Linked DNA regions of Styela clava. The protein of the gene in region 2 purifies or fractionates together with the protein of the main gene of each other region. This does not show direct contact. Links are inferred from orthologs where the notes say so. Each region holds a gene or a part of one and is shown on either strand. Other genes may lie near its edges. The genes, in order: centrosomal protein of 78 kDa-like, E3 ubiquitin-protein ligase UBR5-like and dual specificity tyrosine-phosphorylation-regulated kinase 2-like.

The links.
Region 1: the proteins of E3 ubiquitin-protein ligase UBR5-like (region 2) and centrosomal protein of 78 kDa-like purify together in Homo sapiens (affinity purification with western blotting; 3 studies listed by BioGRID, with this or other methods). This does not show direct contact. The link is inferred for Styela clava from reciprocal best matches to the Homo sapiens genes UBR5 and CEP78.
Region 3: the proteins of E3 ubiquitin-protein ligase UBR5-like (region 2) and dual specificity tyrosine-phosphorylation-regulated kinase 2-like purify together in Homo sapiens (affinity purification with western blotting; 3 studies listed by BioGRID and IntAct, with this or other methods). This does not show direct contact. The link is inferred for Styela clava from reciprocal best matches to the Homo sapiens genes UBR5 and DYRK2.

The regions. Positions count from the first base shown.
Region 1 is NC_135252.1:10,889,468-10,900,123, forward strand, and holds the start of centrosomal protein of 78 kDa-like, read left to right. Parts: upstream 1-5,983; 5' UTR 5,984-6,260; coding exon 6,261-6,374; intron 6,375-7,444; coding exon 7,445-7,592; intron 7,593-8,385; coding exon 8,386-8,561; intron 8,562-9,001; coding exon 9,002-9,074; intron 9,075-10,103; coding exon 10,104-10,207; intron 10,208-10,656. Other genes in the region: carbohydrate sulfotransferase 10-like, read right to left, coding at 3,135-3,148. UniProt on the Homo sapiens protein: Centriole wall protein that localizes to mature centrioles and regulates centriole and cilia biogenesis. Involved in centrosome duplication: required for efficient PLK4 centrosomal localization and PLK4-induced overduplication of centrioles.
Region 2 is NC_135263.1:5,824,602-5,835,761, forward strand, and holds the start of E3 ubiquitin-protein ligase UBR5-like, read left to right. Parts: upstream 1-6,143; 5' UTR 6,144-6,238; coding exon 6,239-6,306; intron 6,307-6,821; coding exon 6,822-6,914; intron 6,915-7,398; coding exon 7,399-7,562; intron 7,563-8,108; coding exon 8,109-8,377; intron 8,378-9,193; coding exon 9,194-9,289; intron 9,290-9,655; coding exon 9,656-9,785; intron 9,786-10,149; coding exon 10,150-10,288; intron 10,289-11,160. UniProt on the Homo sapiens protein: E3 ubiquitin-protein ligase involved in different protein quality control pathways in the cytoplasm and nucleus. Mainly acts as a ubiquitin chain elongator that extends pre-ubiquitinated substrates.
Region 3 is NC_135256.1:16,016,592-16,027,375, forward strand, and holds the start of dual specificity tyrosine-phosphorylation-regulated kinase 2-like, read left to right. Parts: upstream 1-6,350; 5' UTR 6,351-6,499; coding exon 6,500-7,183; intron 7,184-7,402; coding exon 7,403-7,531; intron 7,532-8,409; coding exon 8,410-8,544; intron 8,545-9,678; coding exon 9,679-9,804; intron 9,805-10,643; coding exon 10,644-10,784. UniProt on the Homo sapiens protein: Serine/threonine-protein kinase involved in the regulation of the mitotic cell cycle, cell proliferation, apoptosis, organization of the cytoskeleton and neurite outgrowth. Functions in part via its role in ubiquitin-dependent proteasomal protein degradation.

The DNA.
Region 1 (10,656 bases), on a different chromosome or scaffold from region 2:
AATGAAAAGAGTAAGCGCAAAATACAGAACAAAAAAACTTGTGCACACAGAAACAAACCGCGCAAAAATAACAGTTGCCCCATCAACCCCCCAAAATATTTTGTTGAAAATGGACTGTGTGAATTTTCGGTAAATCTAATATTGCTTGATTATTTCTAATACCTCTTTCCCTATGCAAATTTGCAGTGATTTTCAACCTTTTTGGAACCTCGTAACACTTAGATCACGAATTTTTCGCGAAACACTATATGAAAAAATCTTCGATTTTTGGAAACTATCCGAAAACACGATAATCCCTACCAAGATTACAGCAAGACCAATAGCTTATGACTCGAGTTGTAAAGAGACGTTAATTTAACAAATTTAAATTTATCACTACAAAGAACAAGAGTACGCCAATAGGAATCAATTTCAACCTGGCTGTTTGTAGCGAATAGCGATGCAATATTAATATGATATATGAGCTTGTTTAGGTGAGCTTCAATGATTGTTGGTTTCTTATCTGTATGATATAACGCGCGGTCTGTATTATAAATAAGTTAATAAACTGCCTTGATATAGCTAACTAAATTATTCTCCCGATGTCATAAGCCTCCAAACGAATATTTTGGTATCGATTTGTTTATTACGTATTGATGACCAATCAGCAATACAATAAAACTAAAATTTGGGCGGCCGCTTAGATCGGTTCTATGTAACATTTGTCAGTTTTCATTAATGTCTCTAAAATTTAGACATAAATAAAATAAGTCTTTCACGCGTGAAAAATTCTACCTGTACTTTTGTCATTGACTAATTTTAATGCTTCCTTTGAGAGTATTCTACGTGCTACGGCATTTGCAAACAGTTTTAAAATCAATACCATCTTCTTGAATATCTGGGCAGCTGTCATTAAAAAAAATGAATCTAGTCCACTTATTAATATATATTTATTAATATATATATCCTAACTTTTTCGTAATCGTTTTTTTTTTATTACATTACTTCAATTGGACCAAGGTTCCCCCGCGTGACCAAGATTCAAGCAATATTTTTTAAAACAAGATGAATGACAGCTTGATTCAAACCTAAATTCTAAAAACATGTAGAAATTGACCAATAACGCCTGACATTACCAAACCGAGTCAATATTCACGACAATGCTTGAAAATAGCGTCTGATTAAATTTCAAATGTTACGTGTCCGTTTTGCTTTTTAACTATTGTCACGGAAATAAACTAGGAAGTCCGTTTCGAGGAAAACGTTAATTACACGCAAGAAAATCTTCTTAAAAACTAAATATGTGCTTGGTGAATTTTCGATTTCTTTTTACAAAAAATGGGTACAACTATTTGACGCGGAACATCGGTTGAAAATCACTGTTCTATATAACTGGTTTTCCTTTGCGCTGTTTTGCACTTCGTACTCTTTGTTTCAATATTCTAATGCTCTCATTTCTGTAATTTAATCACAGAGTAAAATGCTATTGTCCTTCGATCTAGTTGCTTATACAGACCCTATTTCCAAGCATATATCTGATTGAACACACCAAATTTTCAGTAGTTACTTATGCAGAGCCTGATTCAGGGCAGGGTTGTAAATTAAATAGCCATATCTTGTCTATGTGTCATGACTAGCCTACAGCATGTATGACCATTTTCGGAGACAAATCTCAGCCAAATGATTCAGCGACGGCCAGTTTTGTACACACAGCATCGAGCTTTGCTTCGCCTAAACAATTTGTGTTTGATTAACAGAAGAAAATATGGTGTGATTTCACATAATGGATAGGAAGTAGATGAGTCAGCCAAGATACTAAAACGTTTTCAGTTGTGCAATATAATGCAGATGGAAGCGGTCCCGTCCTGGGATGGATCTCTATGAAATCATTTCCGTGGTTGCCTCATCCTCACTCTCAAACCACATACAGAAAAATTCAGACTTCCCTAGTGGGTGATATTTAGTTTCCAATTTATTTTTTGCAATTTTACCTGATCAGTTCCCTTTCTGTTGTATCTTCTTTTTAAGGTAGAGTCATGACATCTTATCTTAATTTCGTTCTCTGATAGTTAGAAGACTATCAAGCACGACACGAGATCAAAACTTAACGTCCGGTGAAATACTTGTTTTCGGACTACGAGCCTACGACTCGGATCATTCACAGCTGTCAGGAAATGTATTGCTATGATTCCCTCGTTTTCTCATAATGCAAAGAATCTGAGTCCTGTTAACAGCTGGTATTAACATCTTTGCCAGAATTACTAAATTTTATTTTAACTTGATATGAATGTGCCTACATATGCCCCCTTCGCTGGTATGTGGAACATACCCTATTGTCTACAAAAAATAACTGTATAAATTGTTCAATGTCAATCTAAATAAAACAAATTGATTGTGTCTGTTGACTTAATACTTCAAGAAACAATGGAGCAATGCTCAAATATATGGACACGGAAGCCAAAACAAAGTAGTACGGGTATGCAATCTTTCTCACAGTACCGGAAATGTATTATTGTAGTCCTCCGGACTTCAACCCACCTCCAGAACGCAACAAATCTCATAGTCATAGAGTCCACAGAAATTTTTGAACTAAATAAAAGTAATGGGCTTCTAGCCACAAATAAAATTTCTGAAAATTTGAAAGTTTTTGGTCCATTAATGAAAAAAGCGATTCTTCCACAATAATAACAACACGGAAACAAAAAGAAAAAAAGAATACCTCTATCAACAACATACTATTAAAAATCGAATTACATTGAGTTCACAGAAATTTTTGAAAACAACAAAGTAATAGCCGACAACAACAATCTTTGATCAGCGAAAATTTCAGTAATTGGTCTTATAAATAAAGATAAATTTTCACAACAACAGGAGGTAAAATACAAAATGACAAAACGATCAATAGATTCATTTCGTATCCAATAAATATAAATTACCCAAGATCAGTGAATGTCACATTTGATATATCATTAAGTGAACAAATAAACGAATACGGGAATGCTCGAATTTAAGACAATAAATAATGATAAAGTATACCTGAATATGAGATAAAATTTTGGAATTGAAGAATAATTCTAATATTCAAAAATATAAATATAGTAGGCCTAAAAACAATTCAACTAATATAATAATATAAAATTTATACATAAGTTTACCTGAATTGTTTCATGCATAAATATATATTCGTTTCATCTTCGTAATTTTGATTCTGTAATTATTTCATAGTTATATTTATACTAATATTAATGTAATGGGATACTGAGTGTAAAGACTGAAAACTTATCTCTTATACGCAATTTTAGAAACTTACTCAACATTCAAATTTGTCTCTAGATATAACCAATTCTTAATTACTAATGGAAGTTTCACTAGAGTCGACATCAAACGCGTTAAGTTTTTATTTTATTAATAATCTCAGAAGGGTGCTGCTAAACAATGGATATTTCCTCGACCTTTGGTACCAAAAAACTTTGTTCTCTGCAATTCACCATTGCAAAACACAACTAAAAAATAGCATACTAAATCAATCAAACGAGCTAATGTTCACCACCACCATACCTGAAAATTTGTGGAAAAAATCTGCACATGAATAATTTTTTGGTTATTGATATTATTCATTTATTTGTGATTGTGTTTTTAATATGTGTTTCAAGATTCTGTAGTTGCTCATGGAAGAATTGAATTACAGTAATTCAATTTTACCATCTATCCATAATGTTTTCCGACCCTTGACCCCAGTAAATTTACAAATTTTTCGAGGTCAATTTTGGCGAGTTTGCGCTTACAAACTGGTTTACCTTTTAAAAACCATCATTTTTTTTTATAAAAGTATTCATCCCTTTGCTGCTTACAGATACAGATAGCTAGGTAGCCTAGTCCCTTGTAGCTTTTCCAGGGCCAGTTTTTGATTATTGCAACTAAACAATAGCTCGTGGAAAGACATAATTACAATTAAGTCATTTGATTTACTACAACCGGAAACTCAAAAATAACACGCAAAACAACGAAAACAAGGCAATGTTTACCAGAGTCGGATCAATTGTAATTTGTAATTGATGTAATTAATTACAGTTTTTCTTGTAATTGTAAATGTAATTTGCTAAAATTTTGGCTCAATTACACTTTCAATTACACAAGGGATCACCAAACTACGGCGTCCTTTCATCTAGCCCGCAATAATACGAAAAAGGGCGAAATATTTTTCCAAGGGGCTTTTCCGAGAATCGCCTTCCTTTTTTATTTCGTAACATTAGTCAATCAGCAAGATGCGAAAAAGTGACGTTACAATATGCCTTTTCGCATCCAGTCGTGGTTGTAAACAATATCACAGTTTGCAATTTCGAATGCTATTCGTTAGTTTTTAGTTGTGTTTCGGAAATTTAAGTTTAAATCAAATAAGTGAATTATCATATTGCCTTCTCGCGACGCGACGCTTCTACGCGAAACTCGGAATTTTTTTTGAGGGTAGCGGTAGCGTCAAGGGTAAGGACTGCTTCGCTCTGTGTAACGTGTCCATATATTTGAGCATTGCTCTGTTGTAATTGTAATGGGCCTTTCCCTGAGCATCGACTTCCTCGTTTACTTCGTGACATTGGCCAATCAGCAAGATGCGAAAAGTGACGTAACAATGCTCCCTTCTCGCATCCGCTCAGACACTTTTCTCACTCAGACAAATTTTCAAGCGTGGTCGTAAACATTACCTCATTTTCGCGTTTTTGAACTCTATTCGTTAGTTTTCTGTTGTGTTTCGGAAATTTAAATATAAATCAGATAATTCAATGATCACTCTGTCTTCCTAGGAGTTTTAATTTAATCGCAGTAATAAAAAATTAGTGTAGAAATAGCTCTGATGGACTAGGCAAAAATTCTTTACCGGTACTTTTAAAAAACAGATTGTTGTATGGTTTGAAACACATACCCCATTTTACAGGCGCCAATTCGCAAAAGCACTCTTAAAATAGCCCCGAAAATTTTGCAATGGTAAAGTATAGGAAGAATTTTTCGGGGGTTAAAGGTCGGGGAAAGGCCCATGTATTTGTAATTTGATATTTTTTGCACGGAGTAATTGAAATTGTAATGTAATTAAAACATTTAAGGGAGTAATTGCAATTGTAATTGAACTGAATTTATGTAATTGATACAACTCTGATGCTTACACCCATTCTTGAATGGTTGTCTAAGCTAAGGCTCTAAGCGAATAAAGTGTCCGATCGGCTTCACGAAATTCAATTGTTACATCATTGTTGAGTTATTGCCGATTGGTCATTGTTACGGAAATAAACAAGGAAACCGACGGTCTCGGGTAAACATCCATATTCCATACCGTACATCTCAATCAACGACTAACATACCGATCTCAATGCATAAAATAAAAAAATGGTTCCATTACATTTGAACCCACGTACATTTGAACCCATGACAATTGCACCTGTATGCTATTGCACCTATGGAATTTTTTTTGTTTCACGGATAGTTAAACCCATACTAACCCTAACCCATGGGTTTTAGCACCCGCATATAGATTGAACCCGTGGATATACGCATGGGTTCAAATGTACATTTGGTACATTCGGCGCGGCGGTGTGGCTCAACGGGCTAAGCGTTAGGAATACGCTCGCCATCGCACCTCTAATTACTCTGCGTGGGTTCGCAGGTTCGAATCCCATGCAGGGATGGTTATGTGCGAGAGGATTGCTGGACACCTCGCCGTCGTTGGGTGGTTCACGTAACCGCTGGTCGGTTACGGCTTCCTCCACCACCAAGTCCATGCTTCCGAAAAAAACAAACAATACAGTAAAAACTAATTCCATACCCGACTTGGAATGGTAACCGGGCGAGAGGCCGTGGTTTGCCATACGGATAAGCCGTCTTATCGGCTTTCCTCTCTCCTCCGGGATAAATATGTAAATCCTATCCTACATGGGTTCAAATGTACGGTCACCTAAAAAGATATATTTGAGAGGGCGACCGATGCGCCTCGATGCACATGAGTAAGCCATTGAAACAACAAACTTTGAACTGAAAAGAAACGTTGGATTGCCGATTCACTTTCTTCGTACTGTCGTGCGGTCGTTCATTCATTGTTCTCTTTCTGCATTGTTCTGGCTTTTGAATTACGCTATTGTAATTTGAGGATTGATCATTGTAACAGCAAAGGAAAAGAACTTTTTTTATAAGTTCTGAATTGTCGCAATTTACTACTGTATGACTATGAGCATTTTTTCCACCTAATATCTGGAATATAGTCACATAAATTCAGAAATTTAAGCCAGAATCAGATAATGTCAGTCGCTCCAGAAAGTGTTTCTATTCGACACCGTGGCTCATATGATTTTGAAACACATTACAGTAGTTTATGTTCTCTGCAAGATACTGTTCCATTGCTTGAAGTGAAGGTAAGAAGTCTTGATAAATAATTTGACATTGTTGAATGTTGCTTACTCGTGAAAAAGACACCATATTTCATAGAAATATGAATTTTTTTATACAAATGAATACATTTTCCTTTTCATGGCTGTGTATTATTTTTTCAATATTTCATAAATAAATTTCTATTTCAATATTGGTAATGTTAAATTATTCACAATACATCTGCTCATTGGCCATTGCATTGATTGATTCTACTTTCATGGCGTTCTAAATTTATTGCAGCAAAGTTTCGGAAGTTTATAGGCTATTGTTATGAATAAAGATTTTGAATATTTTATCTTAAAGTAGACTAGATTAAAAATTATTTCAGTATTTTAACATCAAATGAAAAAAATGCATTCAAGAAATATCAATCTTATCATACTTATTGTACATTGTATATAATACCTCATTAATTGGGCTACTTATTCTTTATTTTGTATTGTCATAACTCTGTATCTAGCAAATGTAACATTTTTTTGCAAGCATCATGGCATCAACCTAGTAATAGGAATCCCACACTAGTCAAAATATTTTCAACACTTCTCACTAAATAATGGAATTATCAAAAATCTTGATTCCAAAAATATGAGAAATTTCATATGATGTAAGGGACAGGATATATTTTGATATTTCTAAATTATTATAGGTTACTAAATTCTAATGTTGCTCAACTAAAAGCTACCTTTAAAATGATCTTACTTACTCTTATCTCTAACTAATAAGACATTAATACGTAATTCATTTTTCCAACTATATACTTATTCAGATATTTCTAACTGTTCAAAAGGTTTCCATTCAATTTTATTGGCATCAGTGTGGGACTGTGATGTATTCTTTTATTGATTTAGTTTCATTTTTGTTCAAAATTGTATTGTGAAAAGCTGATCACAATGTCTTGATCATTAAAAGTTATACAGCAATTATCATTATTAACATTAAGTAATTATATGTCTGTATATCGAGTGCTTTTAGATCTTGAAATTTTTTGGATGTACCGGTATATACAAAGGAATTGGTCAAAAAAGTATAACTGAACAAAAACTTATTTTTGCAGGCACATTTGGGTCAAGGAGTGCTTGACATAAACAGTGATAAAATACGATTGGTTGACTGGTCACCTGTTCTTAACTCACTTCGGATAAACAAAAATTTGAGATTTATTGCAATTCGAAGCTACTATTCACAATCAGCGGAGAAGGATGGTATATTTCATTTTGTTAATTTCAACAATTTAAGGATATTCAAAATAGTAAATGGTAGCCTATTTGAATTCTGAACTACCTGGTTACCTAACCATTTATTCAATATATAATATGGGATATTTTTTACCAGTTTTGCACTTGTTAAATAATTATTTTCAGATCTGTCAACCACTAGCAGTAAAAGTATTATGTACTTCTTATTAATTTATTAACCATATGGTAATAGAGATTTCACGAAATATATGTGTTCCAGGGATGGCTAAAACCGACTATTTCATTGTTACGAACAAATATTGAATGCACAAATTGGGGGCAAGTTCATGTGGAAAATTACATAAATCACTATATGTTCATGTTATATCATATCTAAAACGACATAAATATAAGGGTCATTGTTTTCTCTGAGTTGTTTGTTACCAGTTGAGATATTGTGCTTTAATATCCGCTTGTCTGACAACTCAAAATCCCTTAGTTGCCACCAGCATATCCGAAGCTGTATGCAAACGGGAAAACACATGTAGCTATTAATATAATTCATTAATAGGCCTACAGTTAAATTATTAATATTGTTAAAATCAAGATGTGCAACTCACCTGAGACAAGTAATCATCATATATTTACCTTGCAGCTTTAATATGCTTCTGATTATTCATTCTATGTCTTATGTGATGCTGGGAGTAGGTTCAGGGTTTTTATTCACCCACGACCCACCTATCAATTATCTGCCATAAGGCCCATAACGTATATTTGTATTATATACACAATACACTATACACAAGATCTATTTATTCAGGGGAACAAAAGAAATCTCATTATTTCAAGCGTCGACCACCAGCAATTCAATCCAAGGATATGACACTGCGATTAGCTCAAGCCATTTCTGAATGTTTGAAACAAACAGAAAACTTGAAGTGCTTGGACTTGCAGGGAATTCCATTTCGAAAGAAGGATTTGGCTTTCTTGTCAAAGGTGGTGTTTGCTAAGTTTTGAGTGTTTGGTTTTTTTTTAAAACGATTCTTCATTCCTTTTTTCTGGCTTTTGCTTCAAACAAGGCCTTCTATGTATCCCTCCGATATCTAACAATATGTAGAAAGCTTCTATTATTTCCAAAAACCAGAATCATTCAGGCTCAATATTGGCTTCTCAATTTACACACTAATGATACGGGGGGCATGAGATTTGAACCCAAGATGTTAGTCTGCAATGTCATCACAGTTAAGTCGAACATGTTAACTGCTGTGCCATCCCGTTTCTCAAATTATATTTTTGCCACTGGTCTTACTGAGATTTAGCATTTTTGGTGATCAAATTTGCTATGAGTTGTTATTTTTCAATGTGAGATTTATTCTACTTGTTTTTGAATAATTCAATTTATTAGCCATTTTTTATATCATCAATTATGTTTATAGGGGCTTGAAAGAAACACCACACTTACTCATGTATCATTGGAATATTGCTATATAGGAGATCAAGGATGTGAACGTAAGTATAGTTGAAGCTCTTTTTGAGCTTTGATATGTCCTATAACATTGAAACATTTTATATGCATCATTTTTATTAGAATAGTTATTATTCACTATACTTAATTCAACCACGGTACAAAGTCAGCAACACTTGAGTAAACGTTGAGTAGATAGTCTATAACAGGGGTGTGCAACATGCGTCCAGCGGGCCACAAACCGGCCCGCAAGCCATTTTGTGGGGCTCGTGTCAACACTCCCATCTCCATATTTTCCCCATCAAGCAAAAAATCCTAATCCGACAGTTTATGTTTAAAAATGCACTCACACAGGGAAAAAAACATACTGTCGCTGACTTAAATCTTTCGCCGTTTTGCCTGGTTGGTGACTTTATTACTAGAAGGGTAAGCGATAGCTGTATTCTCTTTTCTTGCCTTTTTCGCGGTGCTCTGGTTGTCATTCATTTTTTAATTTGTTTTGTACGGGGAAAAACTAATTTTTTTGTGTGGGCCAGCTAGATGTCTGAAGTTGGTTATATGGCCCTCAAACATAAAATTGCTGCACACCGCTGGTCTATAATATTACTGGGTATGACCAGAAATATATTTCATAGAGTGAAGATGCTCTTTAATTACTCATAATGTTTGGACACTTTATTACTTATGACTAGGAACATTGAGCTTTATATTTTTCGATTGACCCATGTGTTTTTTTACAATGGGCTATTTATTTGATCATTTTTTTTTATATACGGGGTGTCCAAAAATTTCCCCCAATCTCATAGTAATAACAATTAAAAAGTTCGCCCATCTTATAGTAATAATTCCTCCAGATCTAACAGCAAAAACAATTGGAAATTTTGCACGATTTTATAGTAATAACGATTGTAAATTTAAATATATTTTATTGTATGATAAATGAGAACTACAAGCACAATCAGAACTATTAATAAACAAAGACAAAGAAAATTTTAATTGCTAAATCGGGGATTTTTTGGACACCCTGTATTAATCTTATTCTGTAATCTTCAATCGTTTTGGTTTCTATTCAGAAATATGTGAAGCCTTGAAACATCATTCTTCATTGACTCATTTGAATTACACAGGATGTGGTCTTACATGCAAAAGTGCTGAAGCTGTAGCCAAATTGATAAAGGTTTATTTCAAGTCTATATTGTCATTTTCTAATTTGAATTATAGATCCAAACAGATCTCATTTAGAGGATTTATGGTGTGATATTGAATGAACAAATTAAAAATAATTCAAGTGGATTCAAATGCATAAAAATATTTTAAAATTTTGTTATATTTCATTTTTTACCATTCTGAGCCATGTAGAAGCTGAGGATATATATGTCTGTATTCCATAGTTGGTAGCTAGAGATGTTTCACTGAGGATGCTGGGTTCGACTCAAAATTGCTCTTTTGCTCATAGGTGAAATTTGTACTCAATTTCATTTGTATTTCCTGCCTTTGCTATTATAAAGCATTCTGGAATACTGAATTGAATGCTTATCAAACCTTTTTATGATGACACAAATACCAAAAATTGGAAATTGGCAATTAAAATAGATTTTGAATTGCTGTTGTAAACAGGAAAAAAAG
Region 2 (11,160 bases):
TAACCTGGACGAGTGGCCGTGGTTCGCCATGGTTAAGCCGTCTTATTGACTTTCTTCTCCCCCGGGATAAATATATAAATCCTATCCTAACCACTAGACACAGGGATTGAATCACAGCACAGAATTACACACATGACCATGCTTTTAAATGCAAAAACGTGCGATGTGCGGAATCTGGGATCTCGATATGGTCATTGCATTATTTGGCGCAAAAATACAAACATTTCACTCAGACTTGACTTCTAATTTATTCCTTCCTAAGTATAATAAAATACATAATTTTTTGATCTCTCGAATTATGTTATTAAGTGAAGTATATATAAGAGGCATTATTGCCAAAAATTCGCCTTGAGCAGTAAAAAAGTTTGGCACGCAATGTTGCCTTTAAAATAATCTACAGTAAAACTTCTTGTGGTATATTATAGATCAGAGGTACTCAACATCCCGGGTGAAAGGGCCGCATTTTAATCACAAAAGATGCGACGGGCCGCAGAATGTTATTGTCATGTATTTATACTAATTAATTAATTTATTAGTCCGATACTGATGTTGAATATGCTTCTTGTATCCATTTTTATTCATTCTAAAACATAGTTAACGGATAGCATTCGTAAGTTTGCAGTTGCAACTTCTCCCCTAGCGAGAGCTATGACAAAATAGGAAAAATAGAATTATACTCAACATGAACAATGTTACGATTCTTTTATTGTAACGCGCATTTCCGAAGGGAGATAGACGAAGAAAACAAATAATTAACTAATCCGTGGAGACCATTACATTGTAGAATTCTGAATTGATTTTTGCCGTCTCATGACGTGAAAATTGATTCATTGATGGTTTATATTAAATTACATATATTTTCTAATGAAATTACTTGCTATTATTCAAGTAGTAGAAAATTACCAACGTTATCCTCCCACCGCTTAAAATGATTTAAAAGGTATTGCCCGATTTTATATCGTGTCTTTTTTTTATTGTGTTCTTTTGACTGTTTTTAGTGGACGGGCACGTACTTGTATGTTTTTAACTTTTTCCTTAGGTTATGCCCGTCCTCTGCATTTTGTTTGTCCGTTTTCTGTTGTTTTGTTTCTTTCAGAGTGACCAAAATAAAATTGATTGAATCCCATACCCGACATGGAATGGTAACCGGACGAGAGGCGGCGGTTCGTAATATGGTTGAGCCGTCTTGTCGGCTTTCCTCTCCCCCGGGATGAATATGTAAATCCTATCCCATTCTAACAGGGCGAGAGGCCGCAGTTCGTCATATGATTAAGTCAATTTATCGGTCTTCCTTTCCCCGAGATGAATATGTAAATCCTATCTTTTTTTGCACGTGCAATCAATGACATTAAGCAACATGATGCGCAACTACGGCATTTTTGGCCGAAGATCGTATCCGATAGCACGCTCCAATGCACATACTTGACGAGACGAAAACGAGCGGATGTGTGCTGCTTTCAAGGCATAGCACGAATGGTGTTCGTGCCGGCTTTGACAGTTGTTGTCGATTTTAATGATATTTTGGAAAGTTGAGGTAAAAGGAAATCGGAAAAAGGTAAGGTAAATACTATTGTTGTATATCACACCCGGGCATCGCACTGTTAAGTACATAAGGGAAAGCCAGCTTTTGTCAAATACTACGAAGTTATTAATTCAGTACGGTACGTAGTTGCCCATTTGCCGAAATTGCATATTTACTTACCCCGTATGGTTTCAAATAGTTCATGCACCTCCATTTAGATTTTTTTTAATCAGTGAGGATTGAATCAAAGGGTTAACAATTTCACCTAACATTTCACTCATACCGGTCTGTATTGTATAGTCTGATCTCTCAAGTATATGGAGCCACGAATGCTTGTAATTTTCTGACTAATTTCCTGTATTAGTTGGTTTATATACCAAATTCAGTAAAACATTTTTTACATTAAACATGAGATATTGGATTTATTAGCTTTTCCATTCTAAATCATATAGACTGCTTCATTTATTCTTGACGAAAATTAATAAATCTCCTCTCTTTCTTTTCTTCAGATGTGAATGTGGACAAACCTGTCTAAGCATTGTGAGACTCCTGCAGCACAAGAGGCAATAGCAAAAATAGTAAGTATATCAATCAAGAAATAAAGCCGACATAAAGCAAAAGTTTCAACAAATCGTCTAATCTCAATTTCCTATTATTTATCCACAGGACAACTATAGCAGAAAAGGAGATATCAGAAGTCTGGTGACATATCAGTGACCGTGTGATTGCAAGAAGTATATTTAGAGTACTCCATAAATGTTTGCAATACAAGAACAACCTATAAAGGCATGCAAAGACATTTGACCCTCCGATAGAGTTGTGTATGCCCCCCACATCCTGCAGGGCTTAAGGAACATAACAAAAAATTCTAAAGCGTGAGTATGCATAATAGATTTTTCAAACCTTTTAAAGTGAAATTGATTATTCACACAGAAAACAATTTACTGAAAGTAGTTTTGGAAAATTAATTTTTTTTGTTCACATTTTGACCCAATTAAGAATACACATCAAGCTAGCAAAAGAATACTTGAATAAAACACTTGAGTGATTAAATTAAACGCAAAGTACATGAAGAAGGTGGCATTTTCAAAGAAAATGAGAGTTGCAATATTTCTGCATTTCACAAAATTCTGAAGCACATTGAACAGAAAATTTTCATGTGTTTGTATATTAATATAATTATACAACGACTTAGTTACTAAAATCAATATCAATAATAATTCAAGCAATCCAATGCCACGCAATGTGGTGCGAAATGTCTTGTCGAAAAAATCTGTCATGTGTTTTTTTACTGATCTCTACATGAAATTATAAAAATAACTTTTTTGCATTACTGGAATTAATTTTCGCAAAGATCCAAATTAGCCCATGATCATGTGACCTCGTTAGTTAGAGTTGGTACTATAAAATCATTTCAGCCTGGCCTCAGTATGCTGGTGACACAAAAAAAGATACCAAACGTCAGGACAAATGTAATTAAAAAATCATTGAGTTTATACTGTAGTATTTTTGTTAATTTTAGGTCCATATATTTAAATTAAGTAATTTTTAAAGTATGTATTATTCTTTCCTTATCCAAAGTTTGTTCAAAATGATTTTGATGGATGTACATAGAATTTTATGATTTTTTGTAATAAATACAGTAACTTGCAATAATAGTGGAATGCAAATATTAATATGTAATTGCATTTGAAATTAAAGAAAATAATGAAACTTAATCCAACTGTTTAGTTGCATCACAACATATGTCACAAACTAAAACTATCTTAAAAATATCTTTCAAGTATACATTATCAAAAACTGTTTGCGGCCCTTTTTACAATTTCCAAAATGCAATGCGGCTCTCGAAAACCCATGAGTTTGACACCACTGATCCATTCTAGACGATTCAAGCATTGCTTTGGGAAATAATATCAATTCAATTAAATTGAAAAAAATCTTGCTATATTAAATACAAAATCGTTGCTATCATAAAGGTAAACTAATTCAGCCACTCGAAATATATTGGCCTTCACAAAGTAATGGAGGCAAAATTGAGAGTTCATGAGCTATGAATTTTTGTTCTTTTCTTTGTCTTGAACTTTTCATACTCCACAGCCGCTATTATTTTTTTTTAATTTTAAATACCATGTGATTGTCATACATATCTTTAACTTTTTACTCACATGTCTGTATGTGGAGAGTGATGAATACAGTTCGTTTTCTAAGGATCTCGTTGCCTCTTTACTTTGGTTGTGCAGTTACTAGAAGCTGGGAGATTGCGCATAATTCTTCAAGGTGGGGGCGGATGCAAATAGGACTCCACTACAACAACGTTGAGTGGATTGGAATTCACGTTTCAACTTTACAATAGATAAAAACGAAAAATAAAAGTAACTGATTATAGAATCGGGAAATCTCAAGTAAGTTTTGAAGCGTGCCAATTTTAGATGGAAAGGTATTGATAAAAGAAATAGTACGTGTTCGCTCACCCAAAAGTAAAAAAAGTAATTAAGGCACGCACGCACACACACGCACACAATCATCGAGACATGATAAGGTCGGAAGTGAAAAAAGCGAGAATTAAAATCAATCAAATTACTCAGTAAAAAGAAAAATATACAAACAAATGAAAAAGAAGTAAGTAAACTCTTTTACCACATCAAATTAATAATTTTATGAGGGTTGCCAAATTGGATACCGAATTAGCCAACATGAATAATATACTGTGGATAGAAAAGTATTCCTCGTCAAGCTGATTATAATTGGAGTCACTTAATGCGAAATTGCCCCATTAGTATTGCCAAGTTGGATATATGAAGAAGTGGGCTATACCTGCTTCACTGACCAAATAGAAGCCAAAACTAGCCAAATTAGCGTCCAAATAATTTTAAATACTAATAATCAATGACAGTACAGGTAATTATAAGTAAAATTAATTAGGGCGTGATTATGTTTGTATTTCAAGTTAATCGATTAAATATTTTTTTTTTCAATATGTATTAGAATTGATATTTGATTTACTTTATGTCCCACCAATGATCTAATCAAAATATTTTTTATAAAATAAAAAAAAAGTCAGTTGGTACTTGCTACTTGGTACATCTATTTTTACGCGTGGGAATTTTCTTCTTTGACTGAGATCAGAGGTATCTCTGCCTATTGCATCTGCACGGCGTAACGTTAAAAGGAATGCATTAACACGAGGTTTCAGGGATTACCGGTTTAACTTTCATTTTCTTTCTCGTAGTCTACACCTAACCTATATACCGTATCGTTATCAGTAATACTGATGCTCCGGTGACCAGCGATTTTGCATCAGTATATCTCATTCGACAGCGCAAGTCTAAAAAAGTATGATGAAATTAAAACCGGAACGTTTAGATTTTTATGCCAGAACTACGTCATTTCAAAATAGATTTTATTTCGATTCATTCGCAAAAACAAATTAAACATATGTTCAGGAAAGATTGAAGGCAAAGAAGCTGGGAAGTGAATAACACTAATAAAATAAGTTTAAACCCTATTAGGCGCGTTCACTCACCGACATGGCGGACTGAAGAAGAAAGCAAGAAGTCATACAGTCATAGGCTGAACATGAATATTGACGGAGGCCATTACTCAGGCGTTTCACTTTGTAGTCAGGTTGCCTGCAAGTTTTTTTATAAACAAAACTGTGAACTAAAAACCAGCTGTGTGTGTAATGTCAGAACTGCAGTATGTGGCATTTACACAAAAAATTCTAAAATGAGGTTTGAATGCATGTTGTCGTTCCATTACAGGACTACTAATTGACTTCCAAGTTATGATCAATTTGCATTATTAGGCTTCCCGCTGCTTGTCATGATTAATGGACATGTTCCGGATACGATATGTCAAGGATACGCATGAGTGACCTCGGCGATACGCTCCAGTGAGCACTATAGGATTTTACATTTTCATCTTCTTCTCGAGAACGACACTACTTAGAGACTTGAAATTTACATCACATGCAGATAATAAGTCCCCCATCATAAATTGCAAATTTTATGTATGACTGACCACGCTTTCACGCTCCAGTGAACAAAACGCGTTTTCAGTTTTTTTGCGATTTCTCAAAATTGATACATGCTATTGGGTTGAAATTCATAACAATGATTAATGGACATGTTCCGCATACGACATATCAAGGATACGCATGAGTAACCTCGGCGATACGCTCCAGTGAGCAATATAGGATTTTCATCTTCTTCTCGAGAACGACACTACTGAGAGACTTGAAATTTACATCACATGCATATAATAAGTCCCCCATCATAAATTGCAAATTTTATGCATGACTGACCACGCTTTCACGCTCCAGTGAGAAAAACGCGTCTTCAGTTTTTTTTACGCGGGAAGTCTGTAAAAGCTGCACGCAGCTCTAGTTTACAAATAATATTCCCGCGAATTTTATATTCTTTTGTTCATGTATGCTGTTTAAGACTTTATTCTTGTGATGTGTTCTTCCATTCATGAAAATGTGGGTTAATCGGCACTAGCGCTGGTTCCATCTCATTTTCGTAGAATTCTAATTTTTATTTCTTGAAGATGGAAGTAGTTGACTGAATAAATGTTCTGAATTACTATAATTTTCAATCACAAATTTTTATGTCACAGCTCATACGCTTCAGTATAGTGATATACATAAAAACGTATATAGACCTACGATTTTTACAAAGTACAAAAGGATCAAGTGGTGTGGTAATTTGCTCACACATGTCGAAGTCCAGCATCCACTTTATTGTTCAGAAGTCACCTGCTAATGAAGAACAATTTCAAGAGAAGTAATATGGAATTTCTCTATTTTATAAAGTTGTTTTAGCCTTTACTTAGAATGGTATTTCATATTTATCCTGTCATATAGAAATATAGTAAAGAGTAAAGACGGCTCAATCATATGTTAATCATGTCACACCCTTTGGTTACCTATGTTGGGTATGGGAGTAGCTGAGAATTTTTTGCTTCAGATGCATGGACTTGATGGTCGAGGATGATGTTACTGCCCAGTTGTTACATGAAGTGCTAAGAATACAGCAAGCCTCTTGCACATAATTATTCCCCCAGTGGATTTGAATCCATGTTGCTTAATGGTGCAAAGGCAAGTATGTTCTAAGCACACGCAACCTCTGTGTAATTGAATCGGTTTTAAATAGCTCATCAGATAGTGCAAAATTAGTGTGTTCTATATTAAATTGTTGTTTTGTCGGTAATTAGAATCAGTATGTTGTATGATACTTGAATGTGTGTTCTGTAATTTTTTCATTAACTTGTAAATAACGATAGAAAACTTGTTTTCCAGGTTACAGGCTCTCAGTGAAAAGAGAAGTTTCTATGCACCGTCCATCGAGGATGTACCACCAGTCCTACAAGAACTTCAACAATATGAGATAAGGTTTGCCCTGACCAAATATTATCTATGTCTAATATGTTTCATGTATTCAACTCACTTATCTGTGATAGTAACCAGTAATTTGATAGTTTCGGCCAGGCGTAGCTAACGTCTTTTGCTGGATGGCTCAACACTGTATTTTCATCATGAAAAAGAGGAATATGGGTCATAGATTCATCCACAGTCTGCATCAATGAGGAACTTGCTGTTTCGTTCCACAAGTCTTAATAATCCTAAATAACTCTTAATGAAGCGATTTTTGCTACTTGACTATTTAAAATTCATGTGGGAAAACAATAATTAATGTGAATCGAAAAGCATTAATAACGTCAAGAGTTGAATTACTTTGTTACGTCGTGAATATCGTTATTGTTGGTAGTAACTGCATACCCAATAATATATATGCCACTCATTTGTCTCTTACACTCTAAACAAGTCTCTGTACAAGCCGCCACTGATATCTTGTTTTATATATTTTTATTATCAGGCAATGTGTGGTTTCATCGAAGCATATTGCTTTTCTTCTCGAGGATGGAAGAGTCTGTCGGGTAAAATATTTTGCCCACGATCCACAAGAAGAACCTGAAATTGAAGCAACTACTACCACAGCTACATCTGGTGCGAGTAAATCAACATCTACAAGTAAAACAGGTGAGATATCAGTTTATCTGTTTATGGTATAATATTTTGATAATTTCACATACTATAATAAATCATATGGAAAGAATAACTTTCACTTTCATATAAGTGTAGCAAACTGAAGAATAGTTGATCAAACCTTTTCAACTTTTGAACTTTCAAGCATTTATAGAGTCTGATTCAAAATTCTTAATTTGTTTGTATTGCGGACTTTCAATGGTGATAAAGTGAAACAAAACTTAAAAAGCATTAATTTCTATTAAAGAAAGCACATATATGCGAATGTTGTTTTTTTTAATTTGATTTTCAAAGTCGAAATTCTTCAGAATTCTGGATCTGAATCAGATTGATAATATTTCTCAACTCTGCGTTATTAGAGCTAAAGCTTTGTTCAATCCTGACCCAAAAGTTGAAGTCGATTGTAAATTTTCTCCGACTCCACAGTTCTGGTTGTTAGACTTATGTTTTGAATTCAACACAGAATGTGTTGGTGTCATTGTAATTAAATAACTTAATATTTCATCTTTAATAATTTGTCCTTCGTATATTCAATTTTAGGAGAGAGACCACCGAAACTTCCTCGAACAGGTAGCACACCATGGATAATATCAGGCACTGATTTATCCAGTGGCCATTCATCTGCTCTACGAAGATGGGGAACACATATTGGGGTGATTCGTTCGATCGCGTCTTCTTCTGCCACCACCAATTCATCATCAGTAACATCAGCGAGCACAACAACTGCTCGACATCGAGCAAGAAACAGCGGCTCAGATGCAGCGTCTTCTCTAAGCGCAAGCGGAGTGAGACTTGTAAGAACTTCTCAGGTAAGAGTGAATTCATTGTGAGGTTGAATTTTGATTAAAAATTTTGTGTACAGTGCTTTTCGATATCTTGCTCAAAACAAGCATTTTTTGGAAGGACTGAAATTTGTCTATTTGTCTGATCAGGCATTGTACACTTGATTCATTATTGAGCATTGTATTTGTACTTAAGTGTGTAACCTGCGATGTCAACACACTTAAGTCGTTGCTCCAGAAGTATGTGTGTACCAAACTACCAATATGGAGGTTACTAATTTTGTTCGCCTACTTTACATCAAGTTATGTAAAGGGACTGAAACCTATGGGCAGGGGGTATATTCACTTGGATAACACAGACAATCCCTGAACTTGTAATAGAACTAAAATACGGAAAATCGGAACAAAATTATGGCCTAACCCTAACCTGGTACACACACTACAGCAGTACCCTTAAGTCTAATGGTTTAATGCCAAGTGTTCTGAGTTGTGCACCTTAATCCATATGAAAAGTTGATTTGACTCTTGACAGTACATAACAATTTTTGTATCAGTATGGAATTAGTTACTATCAATGTTTGGATGCCTATACTTGATTTGGATTACCAAATTAATAGAATTCTTAAATTGAAATAAAAAACATAAATATAATTCTCAATTTTGCTGATTTTGCGAACAATGTTCTATAAAACACAGGTTTACTTGGGGAATACCACAAAGCAAATGTTTTTATAAAAAACTATCATAAAAATTTTGTTACAAGTGGGAACATTTGCAGGTAAAATGAGTTACGTAAGCTAACCAGTTTATTAACACACATTTAATTGGGCTGTTTGTTTTCAGCTGCGTGGCCGTGGATTACAAAGCTCGTTACTGACTGGACAGAGAGTGATTGTACCTGCTTCCCATGTGCCTGAAGAGTTGGTGAACCAAGTACAGGTATTTGTGTAGTTAATGTAGAATGTGGGACTGCTACAATGGTCGGGTGATGTAATGACTTAAATCACTTGTGGTAACAGTCTACAACTGTTTCAAGGCACACCTCCCTTTGGCTTTTTTGAAACTCACATTCATCCTTGCCATGCTTGATGCTCTGTTTGATATTCATGTCTAAAATATTCATGTTCATTCACATTACAATATTACTAAATATCAGTAACACTACTCACAAATATGAGGAATGTTGGATTTTCCGTTTCGGTCATCCATGGACTGTTTTGACTAATTTTCAATCGGAAATGGATGGGTGTTAATCTCAGGAGATGTTGAGTTACAAATTTAGATCTTCTATACTTTTATATTCAGGGAATACTACAAGGCAAGTCCAGGAGTATTATAACTAGAGAGCTTCAAAGAACAAACCTCGATGTTAATTTGGCTGTTAATAACTTGCTGAGTCGTGATGATGAAGACAATGATGACATGGATGATAACGGTGAGTCGCGATTTAGGAGTGGCAATTTTTTTCCGTTATTTAAGATCATTTTTGTAAATAATATTATGTGTTGAAAAAAAAAATTTGCATTTACATGTTATCATACTTGTTTAATTCACAAAAAATTTGTACTGTACTAATCATTTTCAACAGTTGCATTGAAGGAACTTGCATATGACAAAGTATTAGTTATCAAAATAGAGTTTTGAGTCGGAGGTCAAAATTTTTCTTTACCGATAGTCACAGTCGATTGTGAATTTTCTCAGACTCCATAACCCTGATAAGTAGTTAATTCTGCGCTCGCATAAACCTAACCGATAGCACTCATTTTAAAATTATTGGTTTTACTTTGCTTAAACAACAGGTAGCGACTATATACCAAGTGAAGATCTCTTATCATTACTTGATTCTGGAATACATCCCGGTGAACACGGAGTTTTCATTGATTCTGATGCTATTCTACCAGATGAATTACTTGGATATACTTTTCAACGGGCACCGAGGTTTGTTTTTGTGTTCTTTTTATTTAATGGATTCTGACGTTCTTCTGCCGTTCATTATGTATTTCCCTGAAATTCAAGTTCTAATGGCAGTAAAGCTAGAAGATTTGCCAAAGTAATTACTTATTTCTTTCTGTTTGGTTAATAACAGAGTCATTGATGGCTAAAACTAAATATCTTGTAAATATTTAACGGACAATAAGTCGCATTTTAAATCCTTTTTTTTCTCAAAATCGACTGTGCGCCTTATAAGCCGATGCGTCTAATATATAAATCGGGTAGTGCTTTATGCTTCATTGTCTAAACTTAAAACCAGTGCAGTATTGCTTTAATAAGTACTTTCGAGCCGAATTGACAGTATGCCTTATAATACGCCTTATGTTCTGTAAAATATGGTACTTGCTTCCAAATTATATATAAAATAGAAGTACCGTATGTTTTAATTTATTCTTAATTGGTGAGATAAATGTAATTGGTTACATAGTCTGAATTCATTATCAATCATTTCAAATTACTGGAAAGTACATTCTGAACAAGGCTTTGTATAAGTCAAGGATGCAATCGTTTTTTGATTTCGTTTGTTGTTCATATAAAATAACTGATGGAAATACCTTAAAAGCATAAATAGTATTTTTTATAGAAGAGGATGGGGCAAAGTGCTGAATTTTTGGAAGGGTTCATAAATCATGAAGGTCTAGGAACGGCTCTACAATGTTTTCTATGTATACTATCATATATATAAAAAGACACTGTTTTTGAAAGATTGTAATCCTCGTTGTTCAAGATTGCCTACCCACTCTAGGATTTCATATCTTCTGATTTTGCCCTCAATATGACCACCTTTATTGATAACTGCATTATTTACAAATCCCTTT
Region 3 (10,784 bases), on a different chromosome or scaffold from region 2:
CCGACCACTGGCCTAAATAGCATATTATATTAACTACGGTTATTCCCCCTTCATATATATTCGATAGAAGGATGTATAATTATTTACTTCACCAGCATGAGACGAAAAAAATTGATTGTTCAAGAAATATAGTAATTCGCCGGGGATATTGATAAATTTCCCATTTTAAAAAGGTGTTGGTCGATATTACCCAATTTAACATTTAAAAGGTTCATGCTTGCGTTGAAGGATGGTGGGCTTATTCATTTTTCTTCGGTTCCGATTTAATATGACTATACCATCACGCGGGAATAAAGTTTAAGTTTAATGCTAATTTGGAAATAATACTATTTGGAGATAGCAGATTAATATCAAATTAACTTCGTCTCACTTTATTTTACACGCACTTATTAAGTATTGTTGCTGACGTATACGAAACCGCTGGAATCGTATTAATAAGAAAATCGTTCCCCCGGTTTAAGAAGTTTTATTGTACTCTGGGCACAATTTTACAAGTACTTTAAGGCCGTTTGTTCGTGACGATTGGCATAATTCTTGGGATAAATTCGATTCTGAAATTGATTATTGTTTATACTATGATCGACTTTTCTCCCTACTATTGTTATGTTTGTGGCCACTCTGTACAGGGTTATGGTGCATAGACTTTAAAACTAGATTTAACACCTCGACGCGGGGTCCATATGTGGCCACTGCTTAATATGTCCGTATTAGCGAACGAAGTCACACGGAGATGCTAATTACTATTCATCTTTGTAACAGAAATTTGACGAGTACTGCGGTCAAATGAAGTAATTACATACCAATTACGGTGACGCGGCTTTACTTTGTTCACAGATTGGTTGGTTATTCGCTTACAAACGTCAAATTCATTTTCACTATTTATACAATAGTATAACGCAATAGGCGCGTCCGCACAGCCTTCATTAACCACCACCGCAATTAAGGAAAAATCGAATGGCTTTAATTCATGATAAACAGGCTCACGCGATTGCGATTAAACCCGGGCGCTTGGGAAATCACGCTAAACCGAATCGACTTTCTCGTTGGCTCTAATCGAATTTTGTGTAGCGGATAGTTCGTGCAAATGTTTAGATTGGAACGACAGTGGAAAGTTTTGTTTTTGTGTCGAACAGTGTTTGGAATATCTAAATTAAGGAAGGACAATGATGATTTTTTTAGTGAAAATTATTACTTCCGAAACCTTGTCACCGATGTTTCATGGGGTACACGATAAAATAGTCCCATGAGTGATATGTATCAGGAACATTCTCACACGCTGGGCGTGTAACTTGTGAAAATCGCCATCTTGATTCAAGAATGGGACTATATGTAATTTCGGAACGGAATCATAGTGCTTTCAAAAAAACTTTGCGTATTACGCTAGCCAAGATATATTGGACAACTTCAGGCGAACAATTTTTTTTAAATTACTTCGTTCCCAATTTAATTATTTAACTTTGTCTTGTTACTTGCTCTCGTAATGTATATTGCCGTGGAAGTGTTATATCAAAATGACATCAAAATCAGTGCACTATATAGTTATAATGTTATGTATTTTTAACAGGTCTTAAAATTATCACCCGTTCGCATGTTCTTAACACCTTACAAACGTATTTGTCACCCTGGAAGTGACTGTGGTTGTCATTATGTTTTGTCAAGTTTATGCAATAACTTTGCCAAGTATAGATGTAGATGTGTCGATCTCGAATAGTAATTTCCACCCAGCGCACATGCTTGGCCCATAGTTTTAAATAGACACAACACCTGCTGTCACGTACAAGTCGTCATAACACATCAAACGCGACATTGGCTAATATTACAAAGACCATCTTGGGGAATTATCAGTCTGACTTTATTCTGTGTGGGAGTTACTTCTTCATACTAGTAGAGAGAAATTGATAACAGTTATGGTAATGTTGACTTTATATTGTGTGCACTGTGGGATAGTTTTAGTATACTTTTAGAATATGAATGTGTATATTATGACTGAAGTGATAGTTGTATACTTGAAAAGATGTGACTCATCTACAATGTATCGTGCAGTTTCTCGTTTTAGCCGCATTTGAAACTTAGAGTAATAAAGTGCATTCAGTAGAAATGAATTCGTGCCCACCTTCCAGTAATGAATTGTAGCTCTGCAATTGCAATATTTACACAAATGAATGTAAAGGTTTTATTTTTGTTCATTTCTACTCCTGAACAAGAAACTGTTCACTGTCCGAGTCAATGTCGTAAATCAGATCATCATCAATCAGTTTTATTGGCTGTCACATTAGTGCGATCTAAAATAATGTCTTCTAAATAGATATACGTGAGTCGCTGTTGTCAGTTTTAACGCAAGCTCGTTCTCGTGTCAACGTTGGAACGTTCAATCTTTTAATAGGGTCTGTCGTTATAGAGCTATAATGAGGTTATGGCTGCGGGCAGTGGTTTTAAAAGACGACTTGCTCTTTTAATTGGCATTAACTAGGTACGACTCGTATACGATTTTCCAATAGCAATTACTTAGGCCATGTTAAGGTCGGTTGGGATTGCGAGGTGTTTTATTAATATAATACGCCCAAAAGCATGGCATACGTTTCTCTCTATGGGGCCCAAGCATGAACGACTCGAATTGGTTAGCGAATTGGGCAATGGTATAGAGAAAATTGATCCGGACGGACAAATGTAATATTATCCTATTAGGCGCAACAGGCATTGCTAGGATTTCAGCGTTCCTAAACTAGTCGAACAATAGAAGCGAGCTGTATACACGTATCCATGTATCTGTCAGCTTTTGAAAAATGTACACGGATATTTTTATTAAAGACCGGTCGTGTTCAGTGCGTTTCTGAATGAAGTAAAGGTTATATTACCTACATAGAATTCAGTATAGCTCTTTATTATCATATTCTCAGCCGCCCTGTGAGTGATATTAAGTAAAAAGAATTAGTTGCTGCGTCGTTAGAAAGCATTATCAAACTGACTGCCCAAAGAGCTTGCACGTATTTAGTAATGTGAAATTATATATAAGATCAAAGGATAGTTTCTGTGTTGTCTTATTCATAACACCTGATCTCTGGTATGTTGTCTATATCGACTGTATGATAGATGTGTCCGTTATCTATTGTGGACGACGACCCAATGCCTGGTTGCCCCCACATTTATACATGGCGCCTTGGGTAATTATTTATTTAATTATGTTGTGCATTAATGTAAAAAAGTTTTAGCTACAGTACTTTACGTATAATTTTTTTTTTGCTCATCATTGGTACATAGTGGTGCTGCTTGTCAAAGTATTGGCAACCTATTTTTGACTACTAATTAATGGTAATTATCAATATTATTCCAACATTTTAGAAAGCATATACGCGCATTACTCGTAATAAAAGGGACCCGACTATGGGAACGTAAGGTTTTATGATTCGGGATCTTGTTTCTGTTTAACTGTTCCAGAAGTATGTAGTACGTCAAATAAATATAGGTCCCCACCGCGGTCTTTCTTCGATTCAAAGATATCGCTGAATTTCATCCACAAAAAGATATAATATTATTATATTAAAAAATCTGTAATATAAATTCCTTCATCAGAACGCAAGATTATAAAGTCGTAATTATTTTATAAATAAAATTCTAATACCAGCACCCGACTCTACATGTTGTTACGAGATTACCCCAGAGATTGACTTGGCATTCATTCTGTCTACCGCGAGAGATATCTGTGATCTGACCCACTGCCCTCAGCTAAGAGCTTTTAGTTTGCAACCACAATTCACTTTGAAACTCTTGCTATGATAAAGATTATCACCTAATGGTTTAGTCGGCGTCTAATTGTGCGTTTCAGGCCCGGACACAGAAATGAAAAGGCCTATTCGTTAAGATAGATATTTGAACAATTTCAAAAGTTGGAAATAAAATAATGCCGAAACAAGTGCAGTAAATTACACAAACTACGTAATCCTTAATTTTAGCGCGGTCCGGACAAATAAATCAATGTCTATGAACTTTATGCTCGTGCATTATGCTTTTGCGACTTATTGCTAGATCTAACAAAGATGATATATGGTGCGCCATGGTAATTGTTATAATATGAGTGGTCATTTTACGATCCAGTAAGCATATTATTAAATCTCTTTGACCTAAAATTAAAGTGTTGTTATCATGAGCCGATTGTTTCGCGGCATGGCATTGGTATTTAATGCTGTACTGTAAACCTATTTTTTATAAGTGTTAACGAATTGGTGCGGTACATAAATGGTGAAGAAATGTATATCGCCATCGAAACTCTTCGCGCTAATATACAAACAAAGCAGGCGTTATTTTGCAAGTAGCGAAACTATCTATCATCGAACGTCCAGCGCCATAATTATCTGGCAGAAATCACGTCTCAAGTTTTCAATTATAAATTATCATTGACCTAGGTAATATAATTCTAAACAATATTTGATTTATAATTGTATTTCTTGATCAATAATTTCGACTCGGTATATGTGATTCGGGGGCGAATGTTTCTCTGATAAGTTCGATGGGCCCTGTATGGATGACTCTTTTTCGATACATACCTGCAAGGCTTTGCCGATTGGTATTAGGGATCAAGGCAGCACAAATGAAGCAGTTCTATACCGTGACCGTTTTTTTCTGTGTACTTTTTAACCGACGCGGAAGTGTTCACGCTTGTCAGTCAATCTGTGTTCGTTTGACACATACTCATCACGAAACTGTTAAAATGATTGACCAGTATTGTTGTATGACAAGCAGTGTGTAACAGTGCGTGGTCATGATTCGTCTAGCAATACGTCGTCACGAAAATTTACCGGATCATTTTTGAAGGTTGTAGCATTTAATACCTCTGAAACCTAATTGAGTTTGCCCGTAATGAATCCGGTACAGTAGTGCCCTATGAAGGATGTTAATATCATAATTGCGGAGTATATGATTACGGGGTAACTTTACTAGCGTTGGAGAATAACTGCAATTGGTTTTCACATACATATTAAGCTAATTAACCTATGCTTACCGTTACACCGCGTGAAAGGGTAACTCGGAGCGGAGCAATCGGCATATTTCCTTTGAGGATGCAGGCAATACCTTGAAAGTGCAAACGTGAAGTTTCTAGCGCCACTGGATTGCAGACAATCTTATATACAAAGAGTAGGAGATATGTTAGCAGGCTCGAGATTTTTTTTATGTGCGCGGGTTTGAATTTGTTTGATCAAAAATTCCGAGGTTTGAATAATTAGACAGTAGTCCGTAAATTGACAGGTGTTTTGCCTCGCTGTGTGATTGACCCGAAAAGTATTTGCATAATAAATTTATTAGTTTTACAATCTATTGAGACAGAACGGAGTAGGATTATATTCAATCCTGTTTAAATAAATGTTTTTTGTATCGACGCAAACGACTTTCTTTATATTTAATTTCGAAAAAGAGTTCAAATAGACAGTGTACAAATTATTGTACAATTTCAACCTGGGCTGAAAATTTAAATAACTACATTCATTACTAAGACCACGCGCGTGTAGTTGAGACGATGATTCGTATTTTAGAAGTCGCGCGTACTAGCTGTCTTGTCAGAAAATCTCGGATTAGGTTTTATAAATAGCATGTTTGTTTATTCGCGTAATTCTTAACTGATACCTCTTGAATCTTGGGAGTATTGTATTTGAACTTGAAGAAATCCGGCTTGAAGTCGATTTCGAGAAATGGTAAGCCAAGCTTAGGTAGCAGGACGCCAGTGGCGATGTTCTCTGAAGGTATAGTTTGAATTGTCCATTTATGGGTAACTTCCGCGGGTACATACGTAGAAGACTAAATTGAGTTTCTCATGGTTGTATCAAAATCATCCTTTCGGGAAGTTTTTTGTGATTATAATTGTGCGTCATTTAAATTTCGGCGGAATCAAAGCTGACTAATTAGCCAAATATATGTGGATTACGTCACGCAGACAGCGTCAAACCAACAATGGTTCGTCTCTCGCGGGATGTCGTCACATTATGCAACAGCTGCAAATGTCCTTACTTTTATTCGAACTTATTACTCTAGACGTCGAATGGTGCCAAAATTTTTAAAAAGCCCATGGTGACGTTCAGTTGTCTTTACTCACCGCAAGGAACAACTGATAAAATGTTGTGATTTACCCGGAAGAGTATTGTTGGCAACACAAAGGAAAGGGATGTGATTTATATGTTTTGAAATGGTATTCAGGGTTAAAATTAAATTTGTGCTATTACCAACACTGCAGTATTGAAGGTCGGGAAGACTGGGAAATCTGATTTATATTTATAGTAAAGAAGAAGTGTGTCCAACATGTTTAATATTGATATGCTAGTTTATAACCGATATTCGAAAATAATATTTGTGTTTTATTGGACAGATGTAATGGGGCAATAGGTGGAAAAATTACATTTTTTCACTAAAGATTTTAGGTTTTTAGTGTTTTTATCAATTGCTGTTATCTGAGCCATAGGATACTATGCTTTTCAAAGAAGCAAGGAATCAACTTCATTGAGTTTTTTTAAACATGCTGACGAAGAATATTCTTACCAGTATGTACAGCCATCACCACAATCATCATTCAAGGACTGTACAAGATCCTGTCAACCATGTTGGTTTACCGCCACTTAAAAGCCAAACAGTTGGAGGGATGAACGATATTACCGCAGGTTTAGGAGGATTAAAAGTTCAGCAATTGTATGAAGAACATGGCGATGGTACTAGAGCTGCAGCTCGACAGACCAAACATACTTATGGAAGTGCAGGCAGACGGCCTTCCTTGCCATTAGTTAAAGACACACGTGCTAAGGATGTTTACAATGAACAAGTACAATTAAGTGGTTCACCAAGTCGCAGAGCACTGGCAGCTATGTCACAACAAAGAAAAGGAATAGCTGGCTCACCTCCAGTTGAAAACGGTTCAGTTGCCAGTGGTTCAGCTAAATCTAAAACACAACAAAACTATCTCACACCTGAACAAGCAATGAAACAATACATGCACAAACTGACTTCCTATGAGCATCATGAAATTTTTAGCTACCCCCAAATTTTTTACACTGGTCCGACAGCGAAGAAAAGGCAGGGTGTTGTAGGTGGTGCTAACAATAATGGATTTGATGACGAGCAAGGCTCATACATTCCTGTTGCTCATGACCACGTCACATATCGTTATGAGGTCTTAAAGATAATCGGCAAAGGAAGTTTTGGACAGGTAATATTTTAGTTTTGTTGCAATTGCCTTATCATTCTGCAATCTTGCTTGTCTAAATTTATGATTTACTTATTCATAACCATGTCTTATTTTCAGGAATATCGATATTCAATCCCAAGAATATCGTTATTGATTAATGGATTATGATGTTCACTTTTTTATCACATACTCGATGTACATATAGTTAATGTTACAATTTCATTGTTTTTAACATGGCAGGTCTTAAAAGCATATGACCATAAAACTCAACAACATATTGCTCTAAAAATCGTTCGAAATGAAAAACGATTTCATAGACAAGCAGCAGAAGAGATTAGAATTTTGGAGCATTTGAAAAAGCAAGATAAGGTAATATATGCATGTGTATAATAATAATATACTTTCTACACATTATGTAGTTATATTCATGGAAAATTTCCTCAAAGCTGTAATGTTATAAGCAGTGCAGCTTACCGGCATATCACGTTTCTAATTTTGTTTGGAAATTGCTGTAATAAAGATTTGTCTACCTTTTAAATATCCGGAGAACGAAGTATACTTCCTCTCATATCATATTCTACCATGCCCTTTTACCTCAAAACACCACTTATAAATATTAAATTGCATAAGATGATATGTCTCCTATTGCATTTTGTGATTGTTTCCCATAGAATAACTGTGAAAAATTTCAATAGAATATGGTGGTAAGTATCATCTTATATCAAACTTCATAGTACAATAAAATTGTATGCCATCAATCAAAGAATAAATCTGCTATATGGTTCAAGAGCAGGCTATGCTTTAGTTTGACAACTTGATGAGTACAATTTCAGATTCAATGTTTGTAAAATGCCAGTAAATTTGATACAGTATTGTTGCAGCATAAATTCTCATCAACACCCCATATATTATTCATAAGGAGAATGTCGTTAGATGGTGTTATGCATAGCTTTTCATGTTTATGGAAAGTCTAATCTATATAAACTGATTATAATATAGAAAATTTGTGAAGCTGTCTACCCATTTAATCAATATTTTCATTACCAGCTATTGTTAACAGTAATTAAGATTATCCTGGCAATGTTACAATATATAACATTATGCTTTGTTTCTTGGTGTAATTCTGTAGAAATTTATGGTTTTTCCATAACCAACTGACTGTATTAGAATGTTTGTTTTATGAGCAAATATTTGTTTTTGATTCTAGAAATTTCTGTTCATCTTTTATTTCAAATTTATCACAACAGGATAACAATATGAATGTCATTCACATGTTGGAGAATTTCACATTCCGAAATCATATATGTATGACGTTTGAATTGCTCAGCATAAACCTTTATGAGTTGATAAAGAAAAATAAGTTCCAAGGCTTTTCACTTCAGGTATATACTGTAAACGTTTTTATTTTCAAGTATTTCTATATACAATGTATTTGAATATAGAAAATAAATTGTTCCATTACTCTTAATCATAGACATACTTTTTTTGGCCTGCCATTAAATCATGCAGCGCTTTGATCAATGTATTAAACGAAATTGGATTTTTAATTAGACAGCTAAAAATTGACCATTCAGCATTGATTTTTTTACTCTAATTTTCCATTCCAGTGGTCTGTTCATAAGAACTACTCATTCACACTTTGTCATAGCCAATTCTCACATCTTTTTTTGTTCCATTTTATCTGCTTGGTTGGCTACGTATAATGTATATTACTTGTTGAATACTAGTGTATACATTGCTTCCTAACAACCTTTGAGTGTCATCAGACTGGAAAGAAGTAAAAACACACCCAAGACTGCTAGTCTTTATTATATATTTATATATGTATTGTGTTGTTGCTCTTCAATCAACTTGTATATGCTATTATATGGAATAAAGAGAATAGAGTGGGTGGTTAATACTGGATCAATGTTGCTTATAATTGATAGATTCATAACAAATTATGCTCTTTTACGAAAACATGCCAAATATTACTATTATTAAATACTAATGGTGTATATCAATACCAATACTCTTTATTAACAGAGAATAATTAGAATTATTACATGAATGCTTTCATAAAATTTTCATAGGTCAATCTTTGATTAATTACTAAGGGTTTAATATCCATGTAGATGATGGATTAGTAACAATTATGCTATGAGGAAATTGCTTATTGTTTCGTCTCACAATTTATTGTTACATCACACTATCAAGAAGAATGTCATGATAAGAATGTCACATTTTATTTCAATGATCGATACTGTGAATTGATTTATTGTGGTAATTTTGCTTAAATATTTCTGGAAGTAAGCCAGTAGAAGAAAGCCACACTGCTGTTATAGGAGACACAAGCAAACACTTGCTGTCTGTAGATGTATTTTTGTGCAAGAATTTTAACATGAAGTGTATAATTTCCTCAAGATCTACTTGATTTTTTGTAAAATTCAGCTTTACTGAGTTAATAAATAATCCGTTCTTTCACAGCTTTATTAAACTGTGTATCCTATGGTAATAAAATCCTATTATTTTTACAGCTTGTTCGTAAATTTGCTCACTCCATTCTTCAGTGCCTTGATTCTTTGTACAGAAACCGTATAATTCACTGTGATTTGAAGCCTGAAAATATTTTATTGAAGCAGCAAGGCAGGAGCGGAATAAAGGTATGTGATTTAATGAGTAACAACCTATATTCATGATCTCGTTGTTGTTTCTGAGATTATAAGACATGATTTGCCTCGTAGTATTTTTGCCAATGTCTATTGAATACAATTTGTATATATAATGTTTACTCTTAACAGAATATTTTTAGAATGATTGGGATCAAAATTAATTCTAGAAAATTCTAAATTCTGGAATTTCAAACTATCCTGATTTCTGTATAATAATGTCATCAAACATAATTTGCATACCGGTATTCAATAATTAACACGTAACAGCTGGGCTTTTGAGCGGGTAATCTATTCAGTATGAATAAATCATTTGTACATAATTTATATAATGGTATTTCTCCAATACAATTTGCGCATTTTGCCATATGTAGTTAATTGGCACTCATGAATTTACCTGAATGATTGATTTACTAGTTACCATTTCATTAACTTGTGTTACATAACATGTCCTTTGTTTAGGAGTAAATTTCAAAATAATTCAGATAATCTCCAATTGCTTATGCACATTTATGTAGCATAATAGCTTACCTTGAAGTATACATAGCATTCTTATCTCTTATATTCATTGTCATGTATATGAGTATCAGTATTGCCAGAGGGTAAATTATTTGAAATAAAGCATAGCAGTACTTACATGTATATGTTATGAAAATTATTTGGTGTATGGGTTTGGTTTATAGTCCTTTTAGATGTTCTTGATTGTCATCCAGCTTGTTTTGCTAAGACTGTTGTCGAGTTAACATCCATTAAAAAATTACCAACATTTGGATAATTGTTTCTTGTATAACAGAAATGTTTTGCTTGTTATCTAAAGCCTGTTATTCTTACAGGTTATTGATTTCGGTTCGTCTTGCTATGAACATCAGAGGGTTTATACCTACATTCAGTCTCGGTTTTACCGTGCTCCTGAAGTGATTTTGGGAGCAAAGTACGGTATGCCCATTGATATGTGGAGTTTTGGGTGCATACTA